Nothobranchius furzeri: one gene and its partners. The protein of the gene in region 4 purifies or fractionates together with the protein of the main gene of each other region. This does not show direct contact. Links are inferred from orthologs where the notes say so. Each region holds a gene or a part of one and is shown on either strand. Other genes may lie near its edges.

Evidence for each region. Proteins that work in one complex are often made in the same cells at the same time.
Region 1: the proteins of ppp1cc (region 4) and polr2eb purify together in Homo sapiens (affinity purification with mass spectrometry; 4 studies listed by BioGRID and IntAct, with this or other methods). This does not show direct contact. The link is inferred for Nothobranchius furzeri from reciprocal best matches to the Homo sapiens genes PPP1CC and POLR2E.
Region 2: the proteins of ppp1cc (region 4) and ppp1r7 purify together in Homo sapiens (affinity purification with mass spectrometry; 8 studies listed by BioGRID and IntAct, counting the BioPlex papers as one, with this or other methods). This does not show direct contact. The link is inferred for Nothobranchius furzeri from reciprocal best matches to the Homo sapiens genes PPP1CC and PPP1R7.
Region 3: the proteins of ppp1cc (region 4) and rpl27 purify together in Homo sapiens (affinity purification with mass spectrometry; 3 studies listed by BioGRID and IntAct, with this or other methods). This does not show direct contact. The link is inferred for Nothobranchius furzeri from reciprocal best matches to the Homo sapiens genes PPP1CC and RPL27.

Annotation. Positions count from the first base shown.
Region 1 is NC_091748.1:48,493,642-48,498,831, reverse strand, and holds the start of polr2eb (DNA-directed RNA polymerases I, II, and III subunit RPABC1), read right to left. Parts: upstream 3,337-5,190; 5' UTR 2,934-3,336; coding exon 2,877-2,933; intron 2,516-2,876; coding exon 2,341-2,515; intron 2,157-2,340; coding exon 2,041-2,156; intron 1-2,040. UniProt on the Homo sapiens protein: DNA-dependent RNA polymerase catalyzes the transcription of DNA into RNA using the four ribonucleoside triphosphates as substrates.
Region 2 is NC_091751.1:53,578,670-53,583,698, forward strand, and holds the start of ppp1r7 (protein phosphatase 1 regulatory subunit 7), read right to left. Parts: upstream 3,337-5,029; 5' UTR 3,266-3,336; coding exon 3,226-3,265; intron 2,130-3,225; coding exon 2,034-2,129; intron 1,935-2,033; coding exon 1,879-1,934; intron 1,745-1,878; coding exon 1,679-1,744; intron 1,558-1,678; coding exon 1,427-1,557; intron 1,323-1,426; coding exon 1,160-1,322; intron 1,024-1,159; coding exon 907-1,023; intron 826-906; coding exon 721-825; intron 634-720; coding exon 547-633; intron 1-546. UniProt on the Homo sapiens protein: Regulatory subunit of protein phosphatase 1.
Region 3 is NC_091745.1:6,315,917-6,321,269, forward strand, and holds the start of rpl27 (large ribosomal subunit protein eL27), read right to left. Parts: upstream 3,337-5,353; 5' UTR 3,231-3,336; intron 2,726-3,230; 5' UTR 2,724-2,725; coding exon 2,643-2,723; intron 1,480-2,642; coding exon 1,310-1,479; intron 1-1,309. Other genes in the region: rundc1 (RUN domain-containing protein 1), read left to right, coding at 5,306-5,353.
Region 4 is NC_091757.1:28,391,910-28,396,950, reverse strand, and holds the start of ppp1cc (serine/threonine-protein phosphatase PP1-gamma catalytic subunit A), read left to right. Parts: upstream 1-1,903; 5' UTR 1,904-2,212; coding exon 2,213-2,267; intron 2,268-2,791; coding exon 2,792-2,923; intron 2,924-3,102; coding exon 3,103-3,333; intron 3,334-4,015; coding exon 4,016-4,120; intron 4,121-4,337; coding exon 4,338-4,561; intron 4,562-5,041. UniProt on the Homo sapiens protein: Protein phosphatase that associates with over 200 regulatory proteins to form highly specific holoenzymes which dephosphorylate hundreds of biological targets.

The DNA.
Region 1 (5,190 bases), on a different chromosome or scaffold from region 4:
CACTTCTCATGCATCTGGCCGAGGTGGTGGAACAGGCATGTTAAGTTCCAACAAATGGAAATACAGTCAGTTGCTACCCATAACTAAGTACATCTCCTTTGAATACCATGCCATCTGGGTAACTGCACCGAAAATTATTCTTTATGGTTGTTATATATCGACAACCAGGACAACACGGAGACTTTCTAGATGAACTTGACACCCTGCTCTCCTCCATTCCTGAGCATGACTGTCCCACAATGGTCCTTGGAGACATGAATATTCATCTGGACAACCCCATTTCATCAGGTTTCCTGTCCTTAATGTTATCATTTGATCTAAAAACGGTACAAAGTTCATTCTCTGCCAGCATCACTAATGCAAAGAAAGCTTTCTACACTGACAAAATTCTCAGCACTTCTGACACTCAGAAACCAACTCCCTTCCTCCAAATCGTGTGGAGAACTACCGACCTATCTCTCTCCTCCCGTTCCTGTCTAAAATCATCGAAAAGGCGGCCTTCAAGCAGGTTGCAGAGCACCTCTCACAAAACTATCTGCTTGACCCATACAAATCTGGGTTCAAAAATGGCCACTCCACTGAAGCCTTAAAATAAGCTAGAGCGACTGCCCAAATCCTCAGTGCTTATCCTGCTTGACTTATCTGAATTTGACACAGTCAACCGTGGCTTCTTTTTGTCCATACTCTCTAGCATGGGCATCACAGGGAAAGCACACTCCTGGTTTGAATCTTACCTGACTCGGACAATCTTCTGCTGTTTACCATCTTGCCACAGGAGTCCCCCAGGGCTCTTTACTAGGACCTCTTCTCTTTGCCACATACACCACCACATTGGGTGAGATCATTCGATCGCATGGCCTCTCCTACCACTGCTATGCTGACGACACCCAGCTCTATCTGTCATTCTCGTCCGGACGACCTCACAGTCTCTGTACAAATCTTGGACTGTCTTTCTGATATATCAAGATGGATGAAATCTCACCATCCCCAACTCAACCTCTCAAAAACTGAATTACTTGACATCCCAGCAAACCCATCCATACGACACAATATCTCAATGCAAAACGAGCCCCTATCTCTGGCTCCTTCACACACAATTTGAAATTTGGGTGTTGTGATTTATGACCAGCTGACCTTTAACTCATTACCTTCCGGTCGTTTCCTGATCAGTAAAGCCCTTCGCTGCCAGAGGTTTTCAGCGTTTTCACAGTTTTTTGAAAAGTCACCGAACGTTGCACTCTATGATGATGTCAACGCCCAAACTACCAAAACAAAGAGTAGACTCACCTCTTACATCTGGAATAATCTGCGTGTTTAGAGTGTTATCCATTTTTTCATAATCCGTTGTCGAATTGTGATCGGCAGAAGCTTTTCTGGATCGTGCCTCACTTTTTTTTTTACAGCAGCAGCCCAAAACGATCTCCTAACACATGGATTTTTTGCTTCCTGATCATGTGACGTGTGATGTACATGGATAAAGATCAGCTTTAGAGCTGGGATGTTTGTTCTCACGGTACGGGAGCTCGTTCCGACACCCACACAGTAAAAAAAAAAATACAAATGATGACTTTAGTCATCAATGGCAGGAAATGAGTTAAAGATCAAGTTGCCTCTGTCACTCGTTCATGCCGCTTCATGCTGTATAACATATAAAAGATCAGACCATATCTAACAAAATATGCCACCCAGCTCCTGGTTCAATCTACAGTCATCTCCAACCTCAACTACTGCAATGCCCTTCTAACTGGTCTTCCTGCCTGTACTGCGAGATCTCTTTGACCTTGTCCATTTTCAAGAAACTCCTGAAGACCCAGCTCGTCAGAGAGCATCTTCTAAGCTAGCACCCTCCCTGCACCCGTCCCCCACTCTACTGTCCACTCCTTATTCACTTCCCTTTACGATTCATTATGCTGCCTCACTGCCACCTAGGATTGACTGATTAGTGTTTGTTGTAAGCCTCAAGGGCAACCTGCTGGCTTCATTATTACTTGTAGGTCTTTTGGACAAAAGCGTCTGCTAAATACATGAACATAAACATACCTGTTTTGCTGAAGGCGTCATGCCCATCTGAACAACGATGATGGCTCGAGTGATATTCTCCTCCTGCATTCTCTGACAGTACATTTTAATGGTCTTGATCCCCACCTTGGGTTCCTCTGGTGGGACAAAAATGGACAAAAAAAAGATGAATTCATAACAATTTTCTTCAAATCAAACACGCTTCTCTGTTCCAAATGTAATCACCCAGTTACTTCTAGAAAAGACTGATGCACTGAGCAAAAGTCACAAAAGTCACCTGGTCTCCATTTCTGTTCAATCTCCCAGTTAAAATAAACATACCGGGAAAGAAAACAAACATCTGGTCAGTGGGATCATCATTGTGTGCCACCAGCACCGTGAGATCTGTTCGTCTGGGACGACCTTCGCTCGGTTTGTCTCCAAACTGACTCTTGAACTCCTCCAGAGTCTGGTCCAACTCGTCCTGGGTCACAAGGTAACCTCGATCATGGCACAGCTGAAGGAGGAAAACATCAGAGAAGGTATCAGAAAACTCATTTAATAAACATTAAAATTAAATAATTCGTCTGTTATTTTGTCGAACTTAAACACACTTATTTAAATTTTACAGAAACAATTGTTGCAGTCAGGTTAGAGCCGCTAGTCTTGCTTCGTACTTTGGTAAACTGCTTAAAATACCAGTGGAACAAGTGTTGAACAAGCTAGTGTTTAGCCAGGCTGTCATAATGTTAAAATAAGGAGTACACAAGTCAAATTTAACGGAACTTCAGTGATAAAAAATACATTCATTCATGTTGAGCTAACGAGCTAAAAGAGGCTAACAAGCTAAATAAAGAAAACATTCAAACCTAACGAACCTGCATGATGGTTTTGCGGATCTTCCAAAGTCTATATGTTTCCTCTTCATCATCCATGTCCTGCTAAATAAGCTGTGTGCACTAGATTTGGTCAGAAAATGATTTTTTTTTTGTTATCAATATCGCTCTTTAAGCGAACGCACGTTTCCCGATTGACTGACACAGGCTGATGACGTCAGAAAAGCTGACCTGAAGGGGTTTGCTCCTTCTCTGCTTTGCCGGTGTTCATGTGCTTTTTTATCTGACTAAAGACCAGGAATGGGGTTTTTCGCTTGGTTCAGAGACCTTCTAAAGTTATTGCGCCTCTAGCATTTGTTAACGACAGTGCCATCTTACAACGAGGCTTTTCCAGCAAATTAACTTCAAAGACGTCATCATAAACCAGCAATCACCGCCGCTGTTCTGTTAGTTAAATAAAGATTTTCGCCACTAGAGGGCAGATTTGTGTCCCCTGTTGGATAATTTTAATTACATCATGTCCCCATTATTTATCAGTATGGAAAGCATGCTGGAGTCAGACCATTTGTTCGTTCTTACACAATCAGACTAGATGCATCATTGTGGATCAGTACACGGAAATGTGTCAAGACTGTGTGCGCCACGAATCGTATCCTAAATGAACAAGGTGTGAAAAGTGGGTGTTGCTGTATTTAGTCTGATTGTGTAAGACCGAACACCCCAGCAATCTTTCTGTGCAGATAAATAATGGGGGCATGATCTAATCCATGTCCCAGATAAAGTAAATAATTTATCCAACACCCTCCTCCTTCGATTTGAACGTTAAAGCCATCAAATGGTGAAACTCTGTACGACCTCTAATTGATTGTATTAGATAGAGGGTGTTTGTTTCAGTGCGAGTGACGTGCTGTACATGCTGCTTCGTGAGTAAACTCCCCCTCTCGCACAGCGCGCCGTGACATGCGCCAGAGACTTAATGGTGCAGACTCCATGATTTCCGACAACAATGCTCAATACAACAACAACGACAACAGTGATGATGATGATGATGATGATGATGATAATAATAATAATAATAATAATAATAATAATAATAATAATAATAATAATTTTACCCTTGGCCCACCTAGTAGCCTACAACGGGGCGGAGTCACGTGCAGCTACAACGAACAACCGAACAACGCATGGATTTTCGACAGAAGTGACCTTTTCTATAACTAAATGAGGCCGTTATATGTTGTTTTGGGCTTGGGGGCTGTGGCGAGCAGCGGGACACTACTGGCCGTGATTTTGTATTTTGTTTTATCCACGGCAGCGGTAAAGTAAACCTCCGTGATACTTGGCTTGTTTTATAATGAGATTTAGAAGTTGTGTAACTGAATATGGCTGCTGTGACATCTGTGGTGCCCTTGCGGGCACGATTGCAGACAGTATTTACACAGGCAACGCACTTCAGGTTGTGTAAATGTTGAAAGTCACGATAGGACACCAGCATTCCTCTGCATCATCCCCACCCCCCTGTTGCGACAAGCTGATAAGCCTATCATCATCATAGTATTAATACCTTCATGGTATAAACACTTTTCTGTTAGTTTTAGATTTATTTTTGTTCTGTGTCTAATTTGTGACCATCTTTGTAAATCAGAACTGTATTAGTAAATGATGTCATCACCTTCTCTAATTGCACATTTTCTGATTTGCTCAGCGTTTCTTCCTTCCTGCACTTTAACCTCATAAGCACACAATGCTGTTTATTCTAACAGCTTGAAACACTCATTCGTTTGTCGTCAGGGATTTATATGATTTGTTTGTTGGCCCTGACCGCGCTTGTGTAACAGACTGTTTTATATGAATAATCACATTATGCGTTTGATTGGACTTTTACCTTTCGCCCGAGTCACATGCACCTCATCTTTCTGTGAGTTTTATGACATAGCTATGAACTTTGGCCTGCAGCACGCGTGCTTTTGATCAGGGTTTGTTTTGTTAGGACCTAAGAGAGGAACCTATTGGAGAAATCCAGCTTATCATTTCTGGTCATTTCGACCCGCCCCTTGTACATTAAGGCTCTGTCAGATGTGAGGTTCAGCAGTGAGGGGGTTGCTCTGACAGATTAGATTGTTCTGTAACAGAGAAGCTGAGAGAGGGGCAGCCATGCGCCTGTTAGGGTGCACAGTGTTTCTCTCTGTCCTGCTGCAGGCTATGGTAAGGGACTGACATTTTGATTTATTCGTTGTATTTATTCTATAATGCATTTTTGTTCATTTGCACCAAGATATATTTTTAATCAGGAAGGTTTCTCTTTATGTCTCTAGTAAGATTTTTTCCCCCACCTTTGTCAACAGTCGTCCCCAAC
Region 2 (5,029 bases), on a different chromosome or scaffold from region 4:
TATTTGCAATTTTAAATTTTGACTGATTGGGGTCTTGTTAAATATCACACAGTGACCTTTTAATAGTCTAGATAAGTGTAATGTTCCTGTTAGTAGTTCCTCCTGTTAAGTGCTTATTTATTTAAATTATTCAGGTTTATAAAAGAAAGCATTTGGACATACACTTTATTATGTTCCAGGCATTAGTCATTTATATTTCACTATTGTAGTCATTTATAGTAAATAAAGTAAGTTTAATTAAGAGGGGAACCCATTTTTCTTGTATTCTTTAACGAAAAAAGTAACCAAGTAGTTATTTTTCTTGGTAATTAGTTACTTTTATAATCTCGTAACTTGGTAAGTAACTGAGTTACTTTTTGACAAAGTAATTAGTAACTACAACTAATTACTTTTTAAAAGTAACGTTCCCAACACTGCCAACGACTAACCCAAATGAAGCAGAAGAGTTACTAAACGTGACTCAACTCGCTGTCAACAGCCAAGTATAAATAAAAAACACAACTTCTAAATAATCAAATTCTCATTCAGCCTTAAAATAATCCATACCCAGAACTCCTGCAGGTCTGTCAGGTGGCTGATGTTCTCGATTTTCTTCACTCGATTGGCAGCAATGTCCAGTGTGGTGAGTTTTTTCTGTAAAAAAAAAAAAATGTAAAAGATTTTTTGAAAGTCCAGAACAAACACTGTTGTTTGTGCAGCTGAATGGTTTCTATGACTCACGTTGTTTTCCAGGCCCTCTATGACCTCAATCCCATTGTGGCTCAGATAGAGCTCTTTCAGGTTGACAAGGTTCTGCAGACCCTCAATCTTAGTAATCCGATTACTCTGCAAATAACAAAAACATATCAACCACTTTCTTAAAATACACACCTGAGTCCTGTTAGAAGGGGATTTGTCAAGGGATACCTGAATGCTTAAAACAGACAGGTTGTGTAAACTGTCCAAGTTTTGAAGCTTTGTTATTTTATTGGTGCCAAGAAACAAACTTTGCAAAGATGAAAGTCCATCCAGGTTCTCAATGACCTGCAAATACAAATGAAAGACACAAATGGACTGCCTAAAAGTAAAATCACAGTTATTTTATAAAATTTTCTGTGTTATTTACTCCAACTGTGAGAGTTTAGCCCCAAAATCTATACAGAGACCCATTTAGGCTCACCCTGATGCGATTAGAGCCCAGCTCTAGCATCTCAAGACTTGAGAGGTGGTCCACATTAGAGATGGTGCCAATTTTGTTGTGAAGCAGAAACAGTTTCTTCAGCTGAGTCAGCTCCTCCAAATTCTCCACCTTCCTCAAAACGTTAAAGGAAACATCGAGCAGCCTGCAGGTTCATTGTAACAAAACAAAGTAAACTTCCCCCATTCCTCTTAATTCCGTAAAGAAGCTGGTGCTTTTTGGTCAAAAACGATATTTTCCCAGACTTACTCTAACTCTCTGAGGTTGCTCAGGTTCTCTAGCTTGCGGATTTGATTGTCATAGAGATCTAGCTCCCGCAGGGAGCTCAAACTCTGAAGGTTTTCTATGGTTTTGATGAGGTTTTGTCGTAAGGAGAGCGTCTAGATGTACAGAGCAAAGCAATAAATAAATACAGTCTGTGGTTATTATGCAGGACAGTTTTAGATTGTTAAAAGCATCCGTCTGGTTTAAATGTCACACAAACATTGATAAATAACCCACCTTAGCCTTCTGCAGCACCTCAAGTCCTTCAATTTTTCCAATACGACAGTGAACAAGATCAACATCCTAGAAGGAACGTGGAGAATTAACGATAATGAATGTAAGACATATTAATATATTTTTATTAAGTAATATACTTCAATAATTGTGTTCGTTTTGCATTTGGGATGAAAATAGTTTTATTTAGAAGGCAGTCTAACCTCTTCTTCTGGGTCCAAGGTAATGGTGTCCATGTCAACAGGTGATTCTTCTTTACCTCAAGTGAGAAAGAATAAACAAGCTTGGCATTCCTTTGCACATTAACCAGTCTGACTGATGAAGCATGTTTAATGCCGGAGAACTGTGGAGGGCTTACTTGCAGCAGTAGGCTGATTGGGGTCCACATCACCATTGATACCCTTCCTCCTGGTCTCATCATCACCAGACTCCTCAGACTCACCTCTTCGGTCTACTGCAGTCAACAAAGAGAAGCTTTATTGTAAAACGTTGTCACAAAGTTTGCGGATTGACCAGACCAGTACTTGTTCCCTGTTGTTTTTAAGACCTAACACATAACTTATCCTTCCACTGATCATACGCAGGCAAACTTTGTGTTAAAAGATGAAAGTTAAGATAAAATGCTAAAAAAAAATAGAGCAAATTATCTTTTTGACAAGCTGCAAGCAAAAACAGTGTCTGAAGTGTCTTTCCTCCCTTTTTTCTCGATGTGTCAACACTGGTTCATCCTTTGAGCTTTGAAGTATTTTTGTTCCTGAATGATTCATAGATCCGAAATAAGCAGCTTAAACAAAAACATTTCAAAAACTCGCTCTAAAATAGACTGGGTGTAGACTGGTAATAAGTAAAAAAGCAGTCCAATGTCTAGAGAGAGTCTTTAAAAAGATCCTTAGGAATATTGAATGAAAGCACTAGGTGGGGTGTCATATCTCAGTCTCAGAGGAGTATGTAAGTATGCTACTTTTGCCAATAAATGTTGATCGTATATCATGTTTAGGAGCTGTTTTTCTACACTTAGCAATGTCCAGCGAAAGTGGAATCAACAAGAGAATAGGCACGACACTAAAACCAGACTTACTGATTACTAAATAAACCGTTTCAGCAACATTCCGAGTCTTACCAGTTTGAAATGTGAGGTTTGACACTTTAAATAGACACTTTACGCAATGCTAAACGAGCAAGGTAGCTCGGCAGCTGAATGCAAGGAAGCTCAAAAGTAAAGCAAATACATTTAAACCAGTTAAATGCACAGCATGCAATCGACTTAAGACCTTAACTTCTGCGTTCAGCACTGCATCTATATCATGCCGAGTAAAACTCGTTAAAAAGTACAGAGTGACTAGATGCTACGTTGATAACGCCAACTAGCTAACGTCTTGTTGATAGCCTGTTAGCTGACAAACCCAGGATGAATGACTGGTCAGTAACAGAAACAACGAGTCACCGAGAGCGATTTTATTCAAATTTATATAATATCTTCAGATGGTTGCATCTTCCTCAGTCTGATAAAGTCATATCAGGATGGCTTGTTTGAGTGATTTTGTACTCACCTTCCATTTCTTGTGGCTCTCCAACAACCAGGGAAGCCATGTTTCTTGTAAACACTCCTGGCAACCGCTCGGCCAATCAGGTGGAAGTGCAGACGGCACTCATACACTAGATGGCGCTGTTGCTCCACACTGAAAAATAACACAGACAATATTATTTATTTATTTTTAATTTAGTTAGTTAGTTAGTTAGTTAGTTAGTTAGTTAGTTAGTTAGTTAGTTAGTTAGTTATTCAAATGTATTGCAATGCTTACTATGTGAAGTGCCTTGAGACGACTCTTGCCCTGATTTGGCGCTCTATAAATAAACTTGAATTGAATTGAAATAGCCCAATGTGTTATGATTTAAAATATCTGTGAGATACTGGGACTAAATGTACACTACCAAGAAGATCACAAGAACATCAAAGAATTCATGGATTTAACCATTTTGCATAAATGTTTGCATCCTCAAACATATTTTAGTTTAACTAAATGTCTGATCATTTGAATGAAACGTGCTGACTTAAATAATTTTATTGTCTGTTTTAGCAAAACTAATATACATTCTAACATATGGTTTACAGCTTATAAAAACCCTAAAATAAAAATCTCAGACAGTTAAAATATTGTTTAAAGGTTTAATAGGCTCAAAGTGTGACATTCAGCCAATTGATCCAAAACACATGCAAATGGTTCCAAAGGCTTTAAATGGTCACTCAGTTGGAGTGAAATACTGAAATAAATGGACTTTTGCACTATATTCATAATAAATATAATGTGGGGGCTGTTGCTTTGCAGCAAGAAGGTCCTGGGTTGATATCCTGGCCTGTGGTCTCTCTGCAAGGAGCCTGCATGGTCTCCTTGTGCACGTGTGGGCTCTCCTCAGGTACCCCAGTTTCCCACCACATTACAAAAACACGACTATCAGGTTAATTGGTCTGTCTAAAATTGTCCTAAGGTGTGTGTGCTTCATTGTCTGTCCTGTATGTCTTTGTGTTTCCCTGCGATGGACTGGCAACCTGTCCAGGGTGTACCCTGCCTGCCTACCTGCCCACCGACTGCCGGAGGCTGGCTCCAGCCCCCTTAAAACCCTGCATGGACCAGTGGGCTCAGATAATGGATGGATGGATATATAATGTGGCAGGTTCTACACTCACTGGCCACTTTATTTACATCTGTCAAACTGCTCGTTAACACAAATTACTAATCAGCCATTCACATGGGGGCAACTCAGTGCATTTAGGCATGTTGACATGTTTAAGATGATGTGCTGCAGTTCAAACCAAGCTTCCGAATGGGGAAGAAAGGAGATTTCATTGATTTGGAGCGTGGCATGATTGTTGGTGCCAGCTGGGCTGGTCTGAGTATTTCAGGAACTGCTGATCTTCTGGGATTGTCACACACAAACATCTTTAGGGTTTACAGAGAATGGTCCAAAACAGGAAAAACATCCAGTGAGCGACAGTTCTGTGGGTGAAAATAAATTGTTGATGTCAGAGGTCAGAGGAGAAAGGCCAGACTAGTTTAAGCTGATAGAACAACAACATTAACTCAAATGACCACTCGTTACAACCAAGGTATGCAGAGCATCTCTGAACGCACAACACGTTGAACCTTGAGGCAGATGGGCTACAACAGCAGATTTCCACACCAGGTGCCACTCCTGTCAGCTAAGAACAGGAATCTGAGGCTATAATTCACTCAGGTTCACCAAAACTAAACAATAAAAGATTGGAAAAATGTTTCCTGGTTTGATGAGTCTTGATTTCCGCTGCGATATTCGGATGGTAGGGTCACAATTTGGCATCAACAACATGAAAGTCTG
Region 3 (5,353 bases), on a different chromosome or scaffold from region 4:
TTTATAAATAGATTTCATGCCTACTGCACACAAACACTGTATTCTCTTGAAAAATCACACAAAATAAAATAAGAAATTTTTGGGCCGATACCGATATTAAGATCACTGTTATGGCCGATAACCAGTATTTGCCGATACCGTTATACCGACATTAATGCTTCTAAAATCAGCAGCTTTTGTATAGAATGAAAACGATTAAAGCTGAATTTATGTTACGTACACACATCACACACATTTACACTTATGAGATTATTACAATCACATGACTAAACAATTACACATCACCCCCCTCACCCTCACGATAAACAAATGGAGACAAGATGGGAAATATATCGGTTGTGAATATCGGCCTGGTTTTATTTATCGGACCGATACCGATATGTTAAATGACTAACATCGGCTGATACCGATACATTGTCCATCCCTACTGTGTACACAACAAAAAGCCGTGTTATTCACATATTTCTAGGCTTGATGTGAGATGGCTGTACCGTAAATTATGTGATTGAAATTGTACCTTCCGATTTCCACTGTAACTAATCTGCAGAGCCTAACCCCCAAATTCCACAACCTCTGCTCCGCCCCCGCCTTCCGCAGCCGCTCGCTTCCGAACTCAATTTTTACTGGTACCCGCTCTACAACGGCTCCGCTCCGGTGCGGAGACCTGAGCTGGGCAAACAAGCATGCGCGGGATTTTTGAGATCTTGCGATACAGTCCGAGCAATAAACGCAGAAGTTAGATCCAAACACCCGTTGTGTGGGAGAAGCATCGGCATGAACTGTTTAATCTGCCCATCATTTGTGTTGAGAGATCAGCAGTGTTTGGATCAACAAAGTGTGACTACTTTGATAGTAGAAACTGTATTTATGGCTTACTTTTGTGCATTTAAACTTCAGCCGTCATTGATCGTTGTTAAAAGTTGTTAAACCTGTTCATATGAAACAAGAAACGCCTTTTGTTTATTGATTTATTGTGAAAAACGGAAGTTGTGCTTGCTCCTTTTCCTGTTGGGCCGTTGTGATTTCTGTCCATTGACTGCGGAGGTGCTCCGGCAAAAATAGGATCGATTCTATTTTTGCCGGACGCCGGAACAGAGGGCGGCGCATGGCGCCGCACTGCCGGAGCACGGCCGCAGTAGTGGAATTGCTCTGATTGACTACAACGGGACCGATTTTGCTCCGGCGTTCGTGTCGGAGCGGAGCGGAGGTAGTGGAATTTGGGGGTGAAAGCTTTTGATCTGAACAGTCAACAACCTTTTCAATAAAACTTGCAAAACACAAAAAAACAGTGTGGCATTGTGACACTGACCTGGTGGGCATGAGGTGGTTGTAGTTGAAAACTTTGACAAAGGCCTTGATCTTGGACCTCTTGGCGATCTTCTTCTTGCCCATAGTTGTGGTCACTTTACGGGGATAGCGGTCAATGCCTGCAACCAGAGCGTGACTGTAGGGACGGTCGGCGGTGCCATCGTCAATGTTCTGCCAAGAGATCAATAAATTGTAAAATCAGGTTTGGTACAAATTTAAACATAAATGTTGCCACAAAGACAATGACAGCTGCTGCTAGAAATTTTCAACATTCTGAGCGGGATGACCAGTTATCTGGCTGTAGGATCAATCGGGCTACAGGCAGAGAACTCTGCTGTTGTGTCCTTGTGCAAGACATAGGGCTGGGCAATTAATAGAAAATGTATCTATTACATCTATTGTCCTAATTTTCCATGGCAATAAATTCAATAAAAAAATGGAAAGGTGTGTGGGTTGGGTTTGCACATACATGTAGTTATCGTTCATTTATCGTTATCGAGGTGAACTCCTCAATATACCATGATATTGATTTTAGGCCATATCGCCCAGCCCTAGCTAGACACCTCTCTCACCTTGGCTGCTGGTGGTGGTAAAAGGGACCAGTGCTGCCTGTTTGGCATCTTCGCCTGTCAGTGACCCAGGGCAGCTGTGGCTAAATTATAGATTGGGGGTAGGCAATCCTGATTCTCGAGTGCTGCCATCCAGCATGTTTTAATTACGTCCCCAGTTTCAACACACCGATTTTAATCAGCTGGTAATTAACAGGCTTCTGCAGAGCTCGAGCAGCTGAACAGGTGATTCAACCACTGGATCAGAAGTGTTGCAACTAAAATATGCTGAATAGCATCACTCGAGAACCAAGATTGTCTAATCACCACCAGTGTGTGAATGTATGAACTGCACTGTAGTGCAGGGGTATTCAATTCTGGTCCTCAAGGTCCAGTACCCAGCACGTTTCAGTGGTTTCTCTGATTCAACACATTTGATGCATCTGTGCAGCAGCTCATCAGGCTCTGCAGAAGCCTGTTAATCACCTGCGGACTGAAATCGGGTGTGTTGATGGAGTTAAAACTAAAAATGTGCTGGATATCAGATCTCCAGGCCCCACATTGCATACCCCTGCTGTATTATAAAGCACTTTGGTGTCCTCTTGGACTCTGAAAGGCACTATACCAGTACGATTATTGAACATTTCTTTCCACTAAATGTGACATTTCCATGAAGGTCTTTCAAAAACCCGTCAGTCACGTCTTGACCTGATATCTGTAGTTTCTGTATTGTGTCGAGACTTTTCACAGAGCCATCACAATCCAGCAGTAAATGACTAGTTTTACCTTCACGATTACCGCTTTACGTCCGGCGTAGCGTCCAGCTAGGACCATCACCACCTTTCCAGGCTTCATAAACTTGCCCATTGCTGTAAGAAGAAACACTTTAGGTGTCCGTTTCACTCAACAAAACAGTGCTGACCCACACACACCAAATGCCATCATTAAACATGAGTCTAGGCCTCGTTGGAACTGTATCGTAGTTAGCATTCAGCTACGGAACAGCTAATAAATCAGTTTTACACATTTATTTTGCTCTCACGTTCTCTACGAACTATTTTAACTCAACCTGAAATGTGTCCTAAATTAAACTAACAGATTGTTAATACATTAAAAAAAATACTCCAGCAAGTACGGCAATGAGTTAAACTCAGCGTTTACATTAAGGAAGCTGCCATGTTGGAAAGAGCGGAGGATGAGAAATGTTTCCACTCTAAAGCGCTAATTTTCTTCATAAATCAATGGGAAACGAACATAATAACGAATGTATACTGAAAAGGGGATGACTGCTTTGCATATGTTGAAATACAAACTACAGCACAAGGTAGCTCTGGCACGATGGATGAGGATTACTTGGAAGAAAAATTCACTCACTGATGCTGTTCTACGGCCACCGCTAGCAGGAAAGGAAGTGCTAAAGGATCTAGTCACCTTTGACCCGCTCATATTCCTACGTCACTTCCGGAAGTAGGTTTCAACTGTCGTTATTTATTTCTTTTAATTCAAGAACAATTCATTAAAAAAACAAATGTATTGGTTTACAAAAATGTAAACAAAAAACTGAAATATTGTTTGAATTCCGTTTTTAAAACGGTGTCCAACACTGGCTTTCAAGGGGCCCACTTTTATTTATTGATTTTTTAAAATAATACCACTAGTTGAAATTTTTTATATGTCGGATGGATAAGCCCCTCTTTCAAAACATAAGTTTTTCAGAGCCAGTCCCCTCCTCCTCCGGCCAGACGCTGGAAGCTTTGGAATCGTAGGACGTCCAAGGAAGGTCCCGGCTTTCTCGCCTCTGATTGGCTGGAAGAGCTCTACTACATTTGCTATTTCATGTCACTGCAAACCGTCTTTCCTAGCTGCAGGTTTTTGTCTGCAGCATCGGTCTGCAGCGGTGACTGTGGAAAGAGAGTCTGCAGCCAGATCTTGGGGAATTTGGTGAAGAAGTCCTGTTTTGCAAATATTTTTTTCTGTTTCTCTTATTTAAAAACCCTGAAAAACGTGAAATTTGATAAAATAATAAACCTTGTTACATTTATCACACTGCTTGACATATTATATCTGCTGGGTCTCAAGTATTGAGGTTATAGAACAAGTCAACCCCAAATCAGCTTTTTTTGCTGATAAACTAGGAGTGTCTAATCGTGCTCTATACACATGTAGTCCATAATTTGGCACTTTACTGCATCTTAGTTAAAATTTAAATATTCTGCCTAAAACTGTCAGTGTGGTGCCATCTTCAGGTAAAAACTCTGCACCACATTTGAATTTAAATCTGCCATTGCTGTTGGCCAAGAGGTACACCATGACGTTAGCTGGTACATTATGATGTCACAATGTTGTTCTGAGCTTGTGTGTGTGTGCATTTGTTAGTGGCTCCGCCCTGTCACTCTGCAGGCAACAGCATTTGTTGCTGCAACATAAGGTGGGAGTGGAGTAAGGGTCTTATTTTGCGCAGCTGTGTGCAGTGTGCATTTAACACTACTGCTTAGTCAAAGATGGGTTGAAATATAACGTGTTGGTAGGGCTGGCTAGGTAAGAAAAGTGGAGCTAGGTAAGCTAACCTAGGCAAGTGGAGGCTTCGTTGGTCCACCACGGTCAAAGATCCGTGAGGTCGCACCTGCAGAAGGGAGGTTTGCCGAGTTTTGGTAATGTTTCTCTCCCTTTAGCAGCGTTGGCCTTTTGATCAGAGATCCGCAATCTGCCTTTTAGCTCAGTTTATGTTGGTTCAGAGTCTTTGAGTGTCAATCATTTGCTCTCACCCGCACAGCCCACTCTCAGCTCCACCTCTTTTCCCATTTTTGGATATGTCTGGATGTGACGGCAGGTGTGACATGGCCAAGATGACGGTGGTGGCAACCGTCCATTTGCACTCATTAGCAAATTTAGACAGAAATGGGAGGGCTTTATGTATAATAAAATATACCCAACACCCAATGACTCGAATGTCCCACTTGAACTTTGTCATATAACGATTCGCTGGATAACATTTATGAAGTAATTTGAATGAGAATTCTTGACCTTATTTGTTAGAAAATACTTGTTAGGAATTGTCTGTGTTCTTTTCCAAATAATATTACTGACAAAAGAATTCTGATAAGAAATCAGATACGGATTACATAAGGTTGCTCTTATATTTATAGTTTCTCTAAAGCACGAATATTGTTTTTATGTTCAGCAAGACAAAAATTTCCAACAGGGTTGGGCGACAATCTTCTTCTTTAATTTTGAAGGTAAAGATTCACAACTTCCGGTGATTCCCTGTAACTCCTGCTTGTTCCTCCCTGACGTATGAATCATCTTTCCCAAGATGGCGAAGCACCTGTTTGTTCGGCGATGTCTTTTTTTTGTCTTCGGCGCGCTACTAGACAACTAACCATCTGAAACACGGCGGTAACAAACTGAGGACCAACAGTAAAGGGCTGGAGTAAACTACGTCGTCCAACATGTCCACAGAGGAGCTGTCAGCCTCGGACAGCGAGGCTGTGTTCGCC
Region 4 (5,041 bases):
TCCACACGATTAAGAGTAACCACACAAACACTGGGTATTTTGAGTATGATCTTTAAGGCATCGTTGTGTGCAACGTGCAGCTTATTCATGCTGCTGTGATTGCAGGATGACCGCAGTTGGGCTGTATAAAGCGGAGTACAATATGCTTTAAATAAAGCCACCTTAACTGGAGGTGAACAAAAACCAAACTTACGAGCTATAGTATTAGCTTGTGCATACAGCTTACAGCACTGTCTGTGGATGTCAGCATCACCACGCATTTGATCAGTTATAAAGTAGCCAAGGTATTTCACCTTCTCACACACATTAAGATCACTATTAGACAGTTTGAACACAGGAAAGTTTAGCTTTTTATCTTGCTTGGTTCTACATATCAAGATAGCACTTTTAACAGCATTATACTGGATATCGTACTGCACACCATATTCAGAACAGATATTCAGGAGCTGCTGTAAACCAGCACTACTTGGACTGAAGACCACCAGGTCATCAGCATACAAATTAAATAAGATAGACAGAATTCCACCCTGCCTAACACCATTACTAACACCAAATGGTGCAGAGATGCTGCCACCCCATTTAACCTGCATCATCTGATGAGCATACCAGTAAGACAGGATTCTCACAATAACCCCAGGGACCCCCCGTAGCTTTAACTTAATAAAAGGTTTTCTGTGGTTTACACGATCAAAAGCCTTAGAAGCATCAATAAAACACATAAGGACAGAAGAAGTTCTATTTCTATACCGGTTCACCATTTCTTTAAGTGCGTATATACACATGTCAGTACCAAGTTTTGGCTTAAAGCCAAACTGATTATCCAAGGAATTAAGGTACACAGTGATTCTATCAAATATGATTATTTCTAGATAAAACACTGGCTAGTGCAATCGGCCTATAATTATCTATACTGGTCACCTTCCCAGATTTGTTCTTAATAACTGGGACAAGCAGAATTGCCATCATTGAGTCTGGTAGTATGCCATGAATCATAAACCCTGTAAAACAAAGAGCTAAAAGGGAAGCTAGCCTTAGGCTAGTATATTTCAAATGTTCTGCACTAATGTGATCCAGACCACAAGCCTTGTTATCAGCTAGTTTGTGAATAGCTTCATGCACCTCATGGGTCGTTAAACATCTATATGTTCATCATTAATAACAGAGCCATCCTCATACCGATCACTTTTTAAACAATTTTACATTGCATAATAATGTTGTCTCCATAATGCTGCAATATTATCTTTCCCATTGATCTGCTATTTTTTAAAAGTGCATTTTAATTAATTACTCCATAATTATCTTGTAATAAGCTGATGTTCCCTTCAGATAAGAAAATATAAGTCAATCATGCAGCTTTTCTATTTCATAACGAATCAAATTCTACAGTATAATATGTAAAAAGAAACTTTCTTAATTTACATAGGTGTGTGTGTGTGTGTGTGTGTGTGTGTGTGTGTGTGTGTGTGTGTGTGTGTGTGTGTGTGTGTGTGTGTGTGTGTGTGTGTGTGTGTGTGTGTGTGTGTGTGTGTGTGTGTGTGTGTGTGTGTGTGTGTGTGTGTGTGTGCAAATTATGTATAAATTATATATTTTTTCTTTTTCTTTTTCACCCTATGACAAGGCCCAGACAGACATAAATACATTTCTGAACAGATTGCTCTTATAAGACGTCTTGATATTCCTGGTAAATGTGAATATCTGCCATGACACTTTCTGCTGCTTCTCCGTAGACATGAATGTCTGTGTGCTACCCATCGACATGTGCATATACTCCAGGTGCCACCTGCAGCTTTGTCGTGTTTATAATAATATGCTCAGGCGTTCTCACATCCAGACCAGTAGGAGGCAGCAGCGGTTTAGTTAGCAGCAGCTAGCTCTTAGCAGCTAGTTAGCAAGGTGCGGCAGCGGAAAAGGAAAACAGACTGGTCTCCTCTCCGCGCTAGCGCAGCTTACGTACATTTTTATGTCGCGGTTTTTATGAAGACGTACACTAGATTTTACTGAGAACAAATATTGCGATTTTTTTAAGTAGCTTATTATATTTTATGAATTATTAGCCAGCACGTAAACAGATACTGGGTTGATCTGAAATATTTCACGCTAAACCGGAAAATCAATATCGCTAAGACGATAGCTAATGCTAGGATAGCTAGCGGGTTAGCTCTCCGAACTGAAAGACCTACCTTTGGCTGAGTTCATTTAGTAAACGACTGCAATGGCTGATGTTGACAAACTCAACATAGACAGTATTATTCAACGTCTTTTAGAAGGCAAGTATGTTCATAAATGTTGTACATTTACACAAATTTTGACGCTTTACAAACAGGCAGCGCATTATATCATGAAACCCGTTTGCTAATGTTTTCCGTTATTATTGGTTTTACTCCCGAATTGACATCTAATGTGTTTTAATTGTAAATTTTCAATATAATCAAATGACAATGAAAGATTTGTAAAAACAGTTACTAAACTATATTAACGTAGTTGCGCATACCGGCGCTAGTCCGCCTTTGCGTGACCTATGATTTTAGCCGCTGCTGCTGGCTTTTATTCCTTCTCATCTACAGTAGATGATCTACTATTATACATATGAACATGTTTACTATATTTTAAACCAACAAAATAAACTTCGTAACGCTTGTCCCGATAGAATATAATAGTATGATGATGCATCTCGTACAAATACGTATGTTACTTCCTACATTTCCAAACAAATACTGCATCAGGCACTGCTGACAAAGCAGCAATAGTTATGTTGTTTTTTTGCTGACTGATGTTTGTGTTTTCTCTGCAGTCAGAGGAGCAAAGCCTGGGAAGAATGTGCAGTTGCAGGAGAATGAGATTCGTGGATTGTGCCTGAAGTCCAGGGAGATTTTTCTCAGTCAACCCATTCTTCTGGAGCTGGAGGCCCCTCTCAAAATATGTGGTTAGTAAAAACCATCATTTTTTTATTTACTGTTGCTTATTAATAAACGTTTTTCTCTTCGAGCTAGATTCTACCAATTACATAAATGTCAACATTTGATTCCAAAGTTAAAAGCTTGCTTGTCCAGTTTTTGCAGGTGCATTATTTATTTATTTATTGCTGTTTGTTTTGTTTTGCAGGTGACATTCATGGGCAATACTATGACCTGCTGAGGCTGTTTGAGTATGGAGGCTTTCCTCCAGAGAGCAACTACCTGTTTCTGGGCGACTATGTGGACAGGGGGAAGCAGTCTTTGGAAACCATCTGTCTTCTGCTGGCCTACAAAATCAAATACCCAGAGAACTTCTTCCTGCTGAGGGGAAACCATGAGTGTGCTTCAATCAACAGAATATACGGTTTCTATGATGAGTGTGAGCAGCTTGCCATTTAATTGTGTCACTGTTTGGTCTCTTGTGTGAACTTGCAGCAGCTTTCATGTTGTTAAACGTTTACCCCGGGTTTCCACGGGAGCCGTCAGCAGCACGTTACTGCAGCAGCACGTCTTGCTCGCGTAAGCTGCTGCTTGGCCCTTCCCACGAGACGCGAAGCAGCAGGGGAGCAGCTGTCACCGACAGAGCACGAAGTCACACGAGTGACTTCGTCAGTAAACACAACAACAAGCAGGAGAAAACTACAACATGGTTTGGGTTTTATGTTCTGTCCGTTTTATAATGGCCAATACGGACCTGAAAACAAAGGAGACCGCTAGCTAGGTGATAACTTCTCATGGGGACGCACAGTTAGTAACCTTTTTTAAAAGTAAAGCAACCGGAAGGCAGTACGTTCTTTATTCTGAAAATCTCTGTAGCTTCTCTCCTTTTCCGCGTCAGATTTCCTGTCTTTCCTTCCCCAAAAATGTCGAACTTGACCCGTTTCAGAGGCGTCGCGCGTAGAAAATAGAACTGGCGCGTAAAGGCTGCGACATGCTGCTCCTGAGACGCGGCCGACTCGCGCTGCTGACGGCTCCTGTGGAAAGCCGGGGTTAGTGAAAACTTGAATTTTTGTTGCTGTTGTGCCTTCAAAATAAAAGCATAACTATTTGTCTTGTTTTAGGTAAACGAAGGTACAACATCAAACTCTGGAAGACCTTCACGGATTGTTTTAATTGCCTCCCTATTGCTGCCATTGTGGATGAAAAGATATTTTGCTGTCATGGAGGTGTGTTTTGTCTTTAACAGAATATTGATGTTTAATCAGAACGTTTATGTTGCCTAGTGGAAAGCAGCTCGTCAGAAGAGGCTTGGCTTTGACGTCAGCCGTTCTTATTTGTCATTGTGAAATGATGTTGACTGGTGTTTGCAGCGACCCATGTGAAGTAGGTCTGACCTCTGTATCAGTTTGTTTGTTTGTACAACTGCTGTGTTGTTGCTTTCAGGACTGTCACCTGACCTTCAGTCGATGGAGCAGATCAGACGCATCATGCGGCCCACGGACGTGCCTGACCAGGGCCTCCTGTGTGATCTGCTTTGGTCCGATCCAGACAAAGATGTTTTGGGCTGGGGCGAGAATGACAGGGGGGTCTCGTTCACCTTCGGCTCAGAGGTGGTTGCCAAGTTTCTGCACAAGCATGACCTCGATCTGATCTGCCGTGCTCATCAGGTAACTGTGCTCACACGGTGGTGCATGGACATCGCGTCCTGTGCTGGCAAACTGTAGACTAAAGAGGAGGCCAGGTGCTCTTCTTACATTATGATCCCGGTGGGAAAGGAGGATTGTTCCTCTCAAATGGAGGGAATAGAAGCTAGCTCTCATTCACTCCTCCATGAAGGTCCTGATAATGTAAACAGAGAAGCATAAAACAGGATGTTAGCTGCAGACTGAAACAGATCCTGTTCAACTCATCCGCTGATTAATGTGTTTATGTAAGAACACACATAGTAGTGTTGTGTTTAGATCAGTCATATGGCTGAAGCCTGCACCTACATGCATGCCTCTCTGTCAGCCAGATGCTAAATGGTGGAGAGTTTTAATATTTCTGTGGGTTTTTTTTTAGTATTTGGTCTTTTTTCTTGTTTCAGATCATTCAGAGCGTGGACTCAGTTAAAAGACAGGAGGGTTTTATGTGAAAATAAGACTTAT